3 linked regions of the Arabidopsis thaliana genome follow. The protein of the gene in region 3 interacts with the protein of the main gene of each other region in a pairwise test. Each region holds a gene or a part of one and is shown on either strand. Other genes may lie near its edges.

What was found. Proteins that work in one complex are often made in the same cells at the same time.
Region 1: the proteins of AT1G54540 (region 3) and UMAMIT14 interact in a protein complementation assay, tested with the Arabidopsis thaliana proteins (one large-scale study listed by BioGRID).
Region 2: the proteins of AT1G54540 (region 3) and ATL4 interact in a protein complementation assay, tested with the Arabidopsis thaliana proteins (one large-scale study listed by BioGRID).

The regions. Positions count from the first base shown.
Region 1 is NC_003071.7:16,490,618-16,495,291, reverse strand, and holds UMAMIT14 (nodulin MtN21 /EamA-like transporter family protein), read left to right. Parts: upstream 1-1,948; 5' UTR 1,949-2,206; coding exon 2,207-2,385; intron 2,386-2,560; coding exon 2,561-2,623; intron 2,624-2,710; coding exon 2,711-2,827; intron 2,828-2,902; coding exon 2,903-3,143; intron 3,144-3,232; coding exon 3,233-3,394; intron 3,395-3,492; coding exon 3,493-3,644; intron 3,645-3,723; coding exon 3,724-3,934; 3' UTR 3,935-4,149; downstream 4,150-4,674.
Region 2 is NC_003074.8:22,254,038-22,258,044, reverse strand, and holds ATL4 (TOXICOS EN LEVADURA 4), read left to right. Parts: upstream 1-1,867; 5' UTR 1,868-2,250; coding exon 2,251-3,255; 3' UTR 3,256-3,482; downstream 3,483-4,007. UniProt on the Arabidopsis thaliana protein: E3 ubiquitin-protein ligase able to catalyze polyubiquitination with ubiquitin-conjugating enzyme E2 UBC8 in vitro.
Region 3 is NC_003070.9:20,367,011-20,370,358, reverse strand, and holds AT1G54540 (Late embryogenesis abundant (LEA) hydroxyproline-rich glycoprotein family), read left to right. Parts: upstream 1-1,847; 5' UTR 1,848-1,937; coding exon 1,938-2,657; 3' UTR 2,658-2,806; downstream 2,807-3,348. Other genes in the region: AT1G54550 (F-box and associated interaction domains-containing protein), read right to left, coding at 1-670.

The sequences.
Region 1 (4,674 bases), on a different chromosome or scaffold from region 3:
TGGCGGAGATGATTCGACATTTAAAGATATTATTCATATATTTCTTGAAGTTTATGGTAGTCTTCGAGTGTTGAAAATTTCTGCATTTACCAAAAAAAAAAAAACTGTATTAATGTCTACTTGGATTTTTTAAAGTTTAAACTTCCAGTTTATGAAGCATTGGCTTTTCCTATATACTGAATTTTCCTATTCATATTAATTTTTTAAAATTTGTTTTGTTTTAGGTCATGATTCTTAAGATTTTTTTTATTTATTTATTTATTTATAATTAACTGATTTTGTACCGAGCTAACAATAATCCACTAAAATATTTACATTGACCAACCATGATTGTAATCCCAGTAAAAAAATTAGTCATATAGTTAAGTGTCAAGCATAAAACCACCATTAATTGGTTCTTTGAGATATTAATTAATATCCTTTTAAGTAATGAATATGCCGTCTAATATCCGGCTTTGAAAGCTGTATTGTTTTGAGTCTTTCATTTTGAATGATATTTTTATTTGGGTTCATGACTTCTTATCTGTATTCTTCTATATCGAATAACAATAGTAAAAGAAAATTGTGATATTTTATTACGAATAAACTATCAAATCAATTGTAATGCATCCGCTACTTAAAAAATCCAGCTAAGTTAATTCGGTGTCAACTCAGCTTTGCCAAATTTGTCCAATATAGTGGGCAATTTGACATTATCACCCAATCTTTTTACAGGGTAATTTGTGTAAATTCATGATATGTCTTTATGAGAAGGAAAAAGAAAAAGAGAGTTCATGATATGTATAAACGCATGATATATTACAATTAAAGAATAATTTTGATCAGGTTTGAATTTCACTAACCATCATAACTGATTTGACAAAAATAGTATATTCTTAACAAGTTAAAGTAACAAACATCATCACTACTCAAAATTTTATTATCCGAATTAATTTTGTTTAGCAAATCACACTGAAAGATGATTGGAATATATATCGTCAGGGAGGGTTCGCATAACATGCCTACGATACAAAATTAGGCTGTCGGGAATTAAACTCTGTGGCATTCGTCAGATACGTATAAATTCCCTTATTATTTTTATCAAAACATTACTATTATTATTCTATGTAAGAGATATAGGTTCCAGGTGGGGAGAATCATAAAGTGCCAAAAATCTCAACCACGACGTTGGCCAAAAGTTATTTTGTTTTCTTTCCTTCCACATATGATCCGATTCGGATTTCATAATGCGTTTTTCCATTTATAAAATGTGTTATGTGGACATACATTTACTAATTGTTTTTCCAGCTCCTTTCAAGTAATATTTAATTTGGTGGGTTCAATTATATATCTCTTCTTATCTTTTTTCATAAACAGCAAAAGCATAATCGACACGGATCCACTTGTGTTCCTCAATTGAATCTCACTATACCCATTTGTTGGCTAAATGTCATATTCGTTTGCTAACTCTTTTATTTTTTTCTCTTTTTTTTATACAGAAAAATAAAAATAAAATTCAGATAATAATTATTACATTAGTACAATAGAAAATAACTTTTAAATTATATAATGCTATTTTTATTCTTAGCTATTACAATAATATTTCTTTTTTAAGCTTGTTAGTTACAAAACAGCAAAATTAACAGCAAACTTGTTAATTTGGGATAATTTTGACATGTCTTTTTTTTTTTTAAATGTAACCACGGTAACTTGTTTTTCTGTAGTATGAAATAATGTGAAATCTATGGGATATCCAATGGTATTGAATATTGTTGAATCCAGTGAGAAGTACTCAGTTTCCTTGGTTAAAAGTTCAGACTTAAAAGAAACCAAGGACCAAAACCGGAAGCTTAATTTAAAATTTAATAAGTAACAATTGTAGTTGATGTTTCCATCATCATCACGACCACCAATTACTTATATAATTATGTATGCTCCTATAAGAAATCAGAGATAACATCAAAACCATGTTGTATTCTACAAAGCAAGAATAGCATATACAATATACTCTACTATCAAAATTGCATTACTTAGTGGAATCCCTAGAATTCCTCCTAACTCAAAAGTCATATTTTCTTCTTTTTTTAATTCCCATGAAAAATATTACAAAACCCTAAAAACCCTCCTATAAAACCAACCTCAACCCCTCCCACATTTCTCCATCAGCTCTTTCTTACATCATATTCCAATCTATCACTTTATAACAAATTAAAGTCTACGTTGAGATATGGCTTTAAAAACATGGAAGCCATTCATAACTGTTGTTTCTCTACAATTTGGATATGCTGGATTGTCGATCATAGCGAAATTCGCACTGAACCAAGGCATGAGTCCTCACGTTCTAGCGTCGTATCGCCATATCGTCGCTACAATTTTCATTGCTCCATTTGCCTATTTCTTGGATAGGTATAGTATGTCCATTTGGAATATAAAATTGTATAATGGTCATGCATGCATGTATGCTTTTACCTATACGTACGTACTTGTAGAGACTTGTGTCTACGTATTCTTCACGCAGAATATGTTAATCTTCTTTTTCTGATCATGTTACTTTAATTTACTTTTTGAATATCATGAGCAGAAAAATACGGCCGAAGATGACGCTATCCATCTTCTTCAAGATATTGTTGCTTGGGTTATTGGAGTAAGAATTACTATTTTGGTTTTTCATATTTTATTTATTTCTTATATTCCAAATGCTTAATTGAATTTATGTGTTTTATGTTTATAGACCAACAATTGATCAGAACTTATACTACACTGGTATGAAGTACACTTCCGCCACTTTCACAGCTGCAATGACAAATGTTCTTCCTGCCTTTGCCTTTATTATGGCATGGATCTTTAGGTATTAAAAACTTATAATTTAATTTGGTCCAGTTTTGGTTTTTGGTCTAAAGAGATCATTATTATTGTTGTGTAGACTTGAGAAGGTTAACGTCAAGAAAATACACAGCCAAGCCAAGATTCTAGGAACAATTGTGACAGTTGGTGGAGCAATGCTTATGACTGTTGTGAAAGGACCTTTAATTCCTTTGCCTTGGGCTAATCCTCACGACATTCATCAAGACTCATCCAATACCGGAGTCAAACAAGACCTAACCAAAGGCGCAAGCCTCATCGCTATCGGTTGTATCTGCTGGGCCGGTTTTATCAATCTCCAAGTAATTTAAAGACCAATATTTATATATTGTTCAATATATTAGAAACGGTTATATATAGTACTAAACCACTAAAATGATTGTTTATGCAGGCGATCACGCTTAAGTCGTACCCTGTAGAGCTATCCTTGACAGCTTACATATGTTTTTTGGGGTCTATTGAAAGCACTATTGTGGCACTTTTTATTGAAAGAGGAAATCCATCTGCGTGGGCCATCCACTTGGATTCCAAATTACTAGCTGCTGTTTATGGTGTAAGATTAATTAGTTATACTAAAATACAATCGAGGGTTTGATTCCGGTTACATATATAAACAATCAAATAAAATGATCTTATTTTGATTTGATGCAGGGAGTCATATGTTCAGGGATTGGTTACTACGTTCAAGGAGTGATAATGAAAACTCGTGGACCCGTGTTTGTTACTGCCTTCAATCCATTGAGCATGGTCATTGTTGCGATCTTGGGGTCTATAATTCTTGCTGAGGTTATGTTCCTTGGAAGGTACGTAAACTTTCAAAAAGCTCTTGAAAAATCTAATGATTTAATTAGTTTAATCTCATTGATTGAATAATTTTTGTAGGATTCTTGGAGCAATAGTGATAGTTCTTGGACTCTATTCGGTTTTGTGGGGAAAAAGCAAAGACGAACCATCTTCATCATTTTCAGACATGGACAAGGAGCTACCACTTAGTACACCACAAATTGTGCTCCCATCAAAAGCAAATGCAAAAATGGACACAAATGATGCAAGTGTTGTGATCTCGAGGCCTAACACCAATGAATCAGTCTAAAATAAAGAAAAGACTAACGGCGATTATTAAAATATAATAAGAGAAAACAATGAGTGTCCGATTTCTAAACACCGGATCGATCGTTGCTTATTGGTAGAGTGTTATTGTAATGCTAATTTTGGCTTTGTTAAATTTTGTATCCGGCTACAATATATGAAATGTTTTGCACTACTAAAAGTACCTTTACTTAAAATTATATAGTGTTTTGAGTTCTTAATTTATAACACCTCTTCAACCACTTGTGGGTTTCCTACGTATATTTCCAACAGCTGGCCAATAAATCTGCAACAAAAATAATCATGTTTCTTTCTTTGTATACGTAATCTACAAAAAGTTATTGGAAAATAATGCTTTTAGAGCACGAGTATGATGTAATGCGGTAGTGGGTAGTGGAGCATAATGGATCAAATCAAAACTTTTTATGAATTGGGACGTGTTTTAGAGATTCTGCATGTTGCGGTTTCTGGTCGCCACATAAGAAAGCATCTCATTATATAAGAAAGCATCACGTTGTGAGATAGTTTTGTACTTGATGTGACAGCTTTTGTACTTTAGTTACAGAAAGCTTCATACTGAAAGAGCATTGAGTGTATGGTGCTGTTTTGTTCGAATATTCTACGTTAGTCATTTCAAAATCCTATCGGATCACCAATTCACCATCCTACTTGACGTCGGTAAAGTAGAAAGAAAAAGCTTTAGGTCGAGCGAACAATAGAAGAATGAATCAAAAATGAACGAAT
Region 2 (4,007 bases), on a different chromosome or scaffold from region 3:
TGCTTAGAGTGCAATACAAGTAAAGTAGGACAAAATCAAGTGTACAAAATTGATTTGGAAAGGAAATAAATGAGTGACGTGGAAAATATTCATGGTTGGATGAATAAAGTAGGTTGTCTGTTTTTATGACTTTGTTGTCCTTCCAAGGGTACAGACACAAGAGCACACCATGTTTCTTTCATTTCCTCGTTACATAAATTTTATTTCTTTCTCTAACCGAAATTTCTTTTGAATTGATATCTGAATTTATAGCATGCTCTCTAAATTCAACAGCACTAAAAAGAAAAAGAAAAAAAGGAGTAATTAAGATTAACCACAAAAAATGGGAAAATGTTTTGGCTTCGATTTGTATATGATTAGCTCAACATCGAGAGATGATTGTTTTAGTTTAGGGATTTAAGTTCTTTTAATCACTAATGATCAGATATAACTATAATTATACTTACAGCTTAAACCAAAATAATAATTATTATACTTGCAGTTACAGGTTGTATCTACATGCATTTTACGTATTTGGTGGCATAGTTTCTGGAGAGCGTGATATCTTCGTATTGTATAATCCATAATGCTTTTTGATATATATGAAATAAAATAAAACAGAAACCGTGAAAACTCCAAAGTCCAAACTAAGACCTAAATGGAGTAAGAGGCATGCTACGAACGTGCAACCGCAACCTTATTTTACGCAAAAATACAGATAATATCCAAAAAAAACAAAAATATCCAATAATGAGTAGTCACGTGTCTCTCTGCATCTATATTGCATTACGTGATGGACTTAATATTACAAGTGTCATTCTGATTTTGCATATCCCTAATTAATATAAGAGCTGTGTTCACATGTCCCCTGCGGAGTCGTATTAATTCTAAGCCAACTAACTTGTGGAATTCTTATAATACTACTATATAGTTTCGTTTCTTTTGACCATATATGAATTATTATAAGGTTCTGGATAATATAGAATGTTTATAAACATTCTATTCAAACAAAAACAAACAAGCTATGTTTATTGCAGCACTGTTATCGTCTTTCCTAACAAATTTACGAAAAATAATAATATTCTTGTGTAAACATTTCTTGGCAGCTGTACGTATTTGTTTGGAGTTTAACCTATAAACGTATTAGTTGCTTTAATTAATCTTTTTACTTGTAAGAACATATATATATATTTCGAATGTCATCGCATTTACGAAAATATAAAAGTAAAAACTTTTATCTAAGAGCCCTTTTTTCATAAATCTTAGCTTAAGAATTTGACTAATATACCACTAATAATGATGTTCTAAGTATATAGAGAATCTTACTCCTCAGTCACTTCTTGACCATTGTACATTATTTCCATTTGATCTCTGATATACGAATCCAATTAATTCTTAGAGATATAATTATTTACTTACATGTTCTTTATCAGGTTGATTATCATTCTAACAGCTTATAGTTATCTTGTTAAAATGTTCGTACTTTTCTCCATTTAAACCGGTTTGCTTTCTTGACGCCTGAATTCGTTCACGCAAGGAGACAAACTTTTCCGGATTCTATTGCATAAATAAAAAAAACATCGGATTTTGTAACACTTGGCAGCAAAAAAAAAAAAAAACTACTAATGGATATCAGAAAAAGACAGTGTGAAAATAATGATAGCATCACTCATATATCAAAAAAGCAACATAAAGTTGAAAAACAATAATAATCATAAGAATTGGGGAAAATGTCAAAAATGGTATCGATCTGTTTTTAGACTCAACAAGGTAAGCATAAAGAGCAAGGACTCAAGAAATGATTCCAACACCTCCAAATAAAACTTTATTTGTATTGTTTTCTACAATTTTGTTTACATATTTGAAAATGAAACTATGACTTTGGTGTGAAAATGTTTTACATAAATACATGTCACAACTCTCCTCAATTTATGACCTTAACAAAATGCAAAAATACCTTAAGAAGATAGTGGACAAAATTGAAAGCAAAGTGAAAAGCCAATTGATTTGATATAACTTTATAGAATTAAATATAGACAGTTTGAGTTGGTTCGATGACATTTATTTCTCTGCCTCTTTCCCAACGTCCCCCTTCTTTATAAGGCAGAGTAGAGTAATAAGACCGGTCCATGACCCTCACGTGACCTCTCTCACTCTCACGTGCCTCTCTTCTCCTCCGTCATTAATATAAAACAGTTGGGGAATTTATAACTTTCTTCTTCTTCTTCTTCTCTCTCTGTTTCTCTCTGTGCGAGCTCTCTCCTCTCATCAATGGAATCTCTCATCAATCCCAGCCATGGCGGAGGAAACTACGATTCTCACTCTTCTTCTCTCGATAGTCTCAAACCAAGCGTACTAGTCATCATTCTCATTCTCCTCATGACTCTTCTCATCTCCGTTTCCATTTGCTTCCTCCTCCGCTGTCTCAATCGCTGTAGCCACCGCTCCGTTCTCCCTCTTTCATCTTCCTCTTCCGTCGCAACCGTAACTTCCGATTCCCGACGATTCTCTGGACATCGAGTCTCTCCCGAAACAGAACGGTCCTCCGTGCTTGATTCGCTTCCGATTTTCAAATTCTCCTCCGTCACTCGCCGATCTAGCTCCATGAATTCCGGAGATTGCGCCGTTTGTTTGTCGAAATTCGAACCGGAGGATCAGCTCCGTCTTCTTCCTCTCTGTTGTCACGCTTTTCACGCCGATTGTATCGATATCTGGCTAGTCTCTAACCAGACTTGTCCTCTCTGTCGCTCTCCTCTCTTCGCTTCAGAATCTGATCTCATGAAGTCTCTCGCCGTCGTCGGCTCAAACAACGGCGGAGGAGAAAACAGCTTCCGTCTCGAAATCGGATCCATCAGCCGTCGTCGTCAAACACCGATTCCAGAATCCGTTGAGCAGCATCGAACTTACTCAATCGGTTCGTTCGATTACATAGTAGACGACGTAGATTCAGAAATCTCAGAGTCAAATTTCAACCGTGGAAAACAGGAAGACGCGACTACAACAACTGCCACAGCAACGGCGGTTACGACTAATCCGACGTCGTTTGAAGCTAGTTTAGCGGCGGATATAGGTAACGATGGTTCTAGAAGCTGGCTCAAGGATTACGTTGACAGACTCTCACGAGGTATATCGTCGCGTGCAATGTCGTTTAGAAGCTCTGGTAGATTTTTTACTGGGAGTAGTCGTCGGAGTGAGGAATTGACGGTGATGGATTTAGAAGCGAATCATGCCGGAGAAGAGATAAGTGAGCTTTTCCGGTGGCTCTCAGGGGTGTGAGTGACAGGTGAGTTGGTGACATTTGTTCATTCACTTGGAAAAAAAAACAGAGCATTACTTTTGGTTTGTACATATAAACACTATTTGAAGTTCTTTGCTTCAATTACCGATTTTTTTTTTCTTTTTCTGACGATATAACAGATGAATTCTCTAGTTATATATTATTACTTTTAAATGGTCTATTTTCTCTTTTATTATGTCCAGTGTGATTCAACATTGATAGCGAATTTTCATTTGGATAACTTTCTTATTGAATATCAGGAAGAAAAGAAAACTATTAGGTTTATAACACACACAAAAACAAAAAAAAACCAAACCGTATTTAAGAGAACTGGTTTTCAAAGATGAGAAGCAAAAGTTTTTGGGCCAACATAGTTAGCCCAAACTAAATCGAACAAAGCACATAAACTTTTTAAAGAAGCAACAAGAGAAGTCTGTAGAAGAAGTGTTTGGTCCAATAACAAAACACACAAACACAGCAAGAACGAGCGAATCTCCTCAACTTCCCAACCTAATAATAGCTTGCCGTGTCGTGACTCACAGAGTAGGAAGCTAACGTTATCCAATGCTTCGACTTTCATTACAGTACCTAAACCCTTCTTGTCTGCAACACTAATAGCAACTGTGACCTTCGCTGCAAGTTTGACATTACCCGGTGGTTATATTAGTTCTGCTCCAGATTTAGGCATGGCTGCCTGCCTGCATTGGTCAATGAGTTAAATTTTAAGGTATTTCTTTTGTTCAACAGCATT
Region 3 (3,348 bases):
AACGACGAGATGGAGGTTTAAACAGCATAGGCAAACGTGGTCCCTTTCGACCAAAAAAGTAAGTATTTCCCTTCAAAGACACGCTATTGTGACTAAACAGTTCATGCCAATCTATATCAATATCAAGAACCCTCCATGAATCAGAGCTAAAATCGTAAACATCAATAATGACGTTTCTTGGACTCCCCTCATAAAGAAACCTCAAAATTTTGTGGTTACGGTTGTTGTCGTATCCAAGAGCAAACTTGTCATATCTGTGGAGTTTTTTTCTTGGTTGAATCAATTTCGTCTGCCCTAAATACGGATTCCATACCATAACACTCGAGTTGTCTTTGGCGATGCATAACAATAAGCCATCACAGTGATAGACTTGAGATATCTCGACTTGATCAACTTTATTAGGTATACTTATTTGCTTTATAGATAGATCAATCAAATCTTCTTCGCTACGGATTCCTTGAAGATCTAATCTCAAAGAACAAACCCTAGAATCTGTAACCATGAACTCCAAGAACTGATTCTTTGCTGCTGCTTTTTTACCTAAGATGTCATATTTCGATATAGCGTTCCACTTTTTACAAGTAGATCTCACTGCTCTTAGAGATGTCAATGGAACCCTAGAAAATATTTCTCTTACCAAATCATCCGGTAGATCGGTTACTGTCGCCATTCTTCCTCCAAGTTTTCAGCTTTCTCCACAAGTTTAATGTCTCATTGACCTATTCGGTACCCTAATATGTTTGTATATGTGTTTTGGTTGGGCTTGTAATAAAGTTTTGCTTTGGCACAGATTTTTTAAATGGGCCTATTATTTGGAAAAAAATAAACCATCGAATCCTTAACTATATCATATGGTAAAATTACGAAATCGTTTAGCAACTGATTTTCAGTTTTACTTAAAAACTACGAAGCTCTTGATTTAGTTCGTAGAGTGCACCACCACATATTTAGTAATCTCTTTATAGATCAGATGATATGTGACTAACATAAATTTCCAGAGTAGATGAGTGATGACTATATATTAATTGGGAAACTTTGACATCTATCACTTTTACGATTCCATTTCTCAAAATAAACTACTAAAGACTTTTTTTTTAAAAGGATGCAAAAGAATCCTAAGATAGAGTGTTTTGAGAAGTCTATTAGCCCATGGAACTAGAGTTTTAGCTAGCAAAAGCATATAAATTTATGGTTAGAACATCCATGGAAGGTAACTTTGTTTGAGAGTTGTCCTCTCAAAACAACTCTCTTCCTTCATCTTAATAAGAGTATCAATTTCGAATCATAGTGTTCTTGGTGACAACGAAGTAATATTTTCTCTATCAGTACCCTTGCATCATAAAGTTTTAATAATCTATCTAAGTTCTTAGTTTCTATCTTAATAAGTTTGAATCTTTCTTCTTTTGAGATTGCTTACAAAAAAATCATTCAAGAATCAATTTATAAAACCTTATATAACTTTATAAATATTTTCTATAAAATGTATTTAAAGAAATTATAAATCCTTTTGTGGTGTTTTTGAAAAAAAAAATTAGTGATAGTTATGAAATGTATCATAAAAATTGTAGTTTTCAAATTCTTCCTCAAGAATTTGATTATACGGGTTGTTGCTGAACATAGAGATGAACAAAAAGAAGATATGTGTTGAAAACATTGGAATGTTGCCAAAGTCGTCATCCTAACTAAACCAATATACCGAATGATTTATTGTTTTTGTTTTATTATCGAATTAAATACAAAAAGATTACTGTAACTGTTGAACAACCTCTAGTCTTTCTAATATATTCTGATTAATTCAACGTTATAGGTGAGGAAGGTAAGATGTTGGTAAAAGTCATGCATGGAAACAACTTCACAAGACAAAACTTTGATATAAAATAAAGTACATATAATACATGTTGGTGCATTAGTATTACTAAATACAAAGTTGTAGATCCATGGGAGATCAACAAAAAATTCACCCGGTTCTTCAAATGGAAGCCAACAAGACGAAGACAACAACACCAGCTCCCGGAAAGACAGTCTTGCTTCCGGTTCAACGGCCGATTCCGCCTCCTGTTATTCCTAGTAAGAATCGAAATATGTGCTGCAAAATCTTTTGTTGGGTGTTAAGCCTTCTAGTCATTGCATTGATCGCGTTAGCAATTGCGGTTGCGGTTGTATACTTTGTTTTCCACCCTAAACTCCCGAGTTACGAAGTCAACAGTTTACGAGTTACCAACCTTGGAATCAATCTAGACCTCTCTCTTTCCGCGGAGTTTAAAGTCGAGATCACAGCTCGTAATCCCAACGAAAAGATTGGGATTTATTACGAGAAAGGAGGTCATATCGGTGTGTGGTACGACAAGACAAAGCTATGTGAAGGCCCTATACCGAGGTTTTATCAAGGACATCGCAATGTAACTAAACTAAATGTGGCTCTAACGGGAAGAGCGCAATATGGGAACACTGTCTTGGCGGCATTGCAGCAGCAACAACAAACAGGACGTGTACCGTTAGATCTTAAAGTGAATGCACCTGTCGCCATCAAACTCGGAAATCTGAAGATGAAGAAGATTCGGATATTGGGGAGTTGTAAGCTTGTTGTTGATAGTTTATCAACGAACAATAATATCAACATCAAAGCTAGTGATTGCAGTTTTAAGGCCAAACTCTGAGATGTTCTTAGATCTAGGCGCTTTTACTTTTTATTGGTGTTAATTACTCAATTCATCATTTTCTTATGCATTTGATTCATATTTTGGATTAATGGTTTTATTCTCAATAAAAGATTGATTTTTATTTTTTAAATTACGAGAGATTTTTGAAATTTCAAAATATTGCAAATGAATGGTTCTTTTCCGCTTAACATAATTTCTATGAAGTAGTCGGAACGAGACTCTCTTCTAGAGAGAGAGAGAGTCATTCAGGAACCGACGTGCTTACATGGGAAAAAAACCTATTGCGATCTCATGTCTTTTTCCAAGGCAATCGATCCGCACATTAAAACGACGAGAAAGAAAATTAATACTAGAAGAGGGAAAAAAACATACAAGGGAACCAAATGTCGTCATCTCAACTACAAATGTTGGCTACACTGAAAGTTTTTCAATAGAGATAAGATCTTCACGGTCGAAAGCAAAAGAGCAACTCGTAACACCTATCGAGATTATAAATTCTATTGCCCATAGCATGGAATCAACTTCAGCATGAATGGTTTGGTAGTGTGAATCACATCTATACTATTTTTTCAATGGTAAAACTTTCGAAAATTACAATAGAATTGAAATATAAAATTTCGAGAAAATTCAAACGATCTCGAGTTTAATTCATCCCAAGTAAAAAAAGAAGTAAAAATCGAAGAAATTA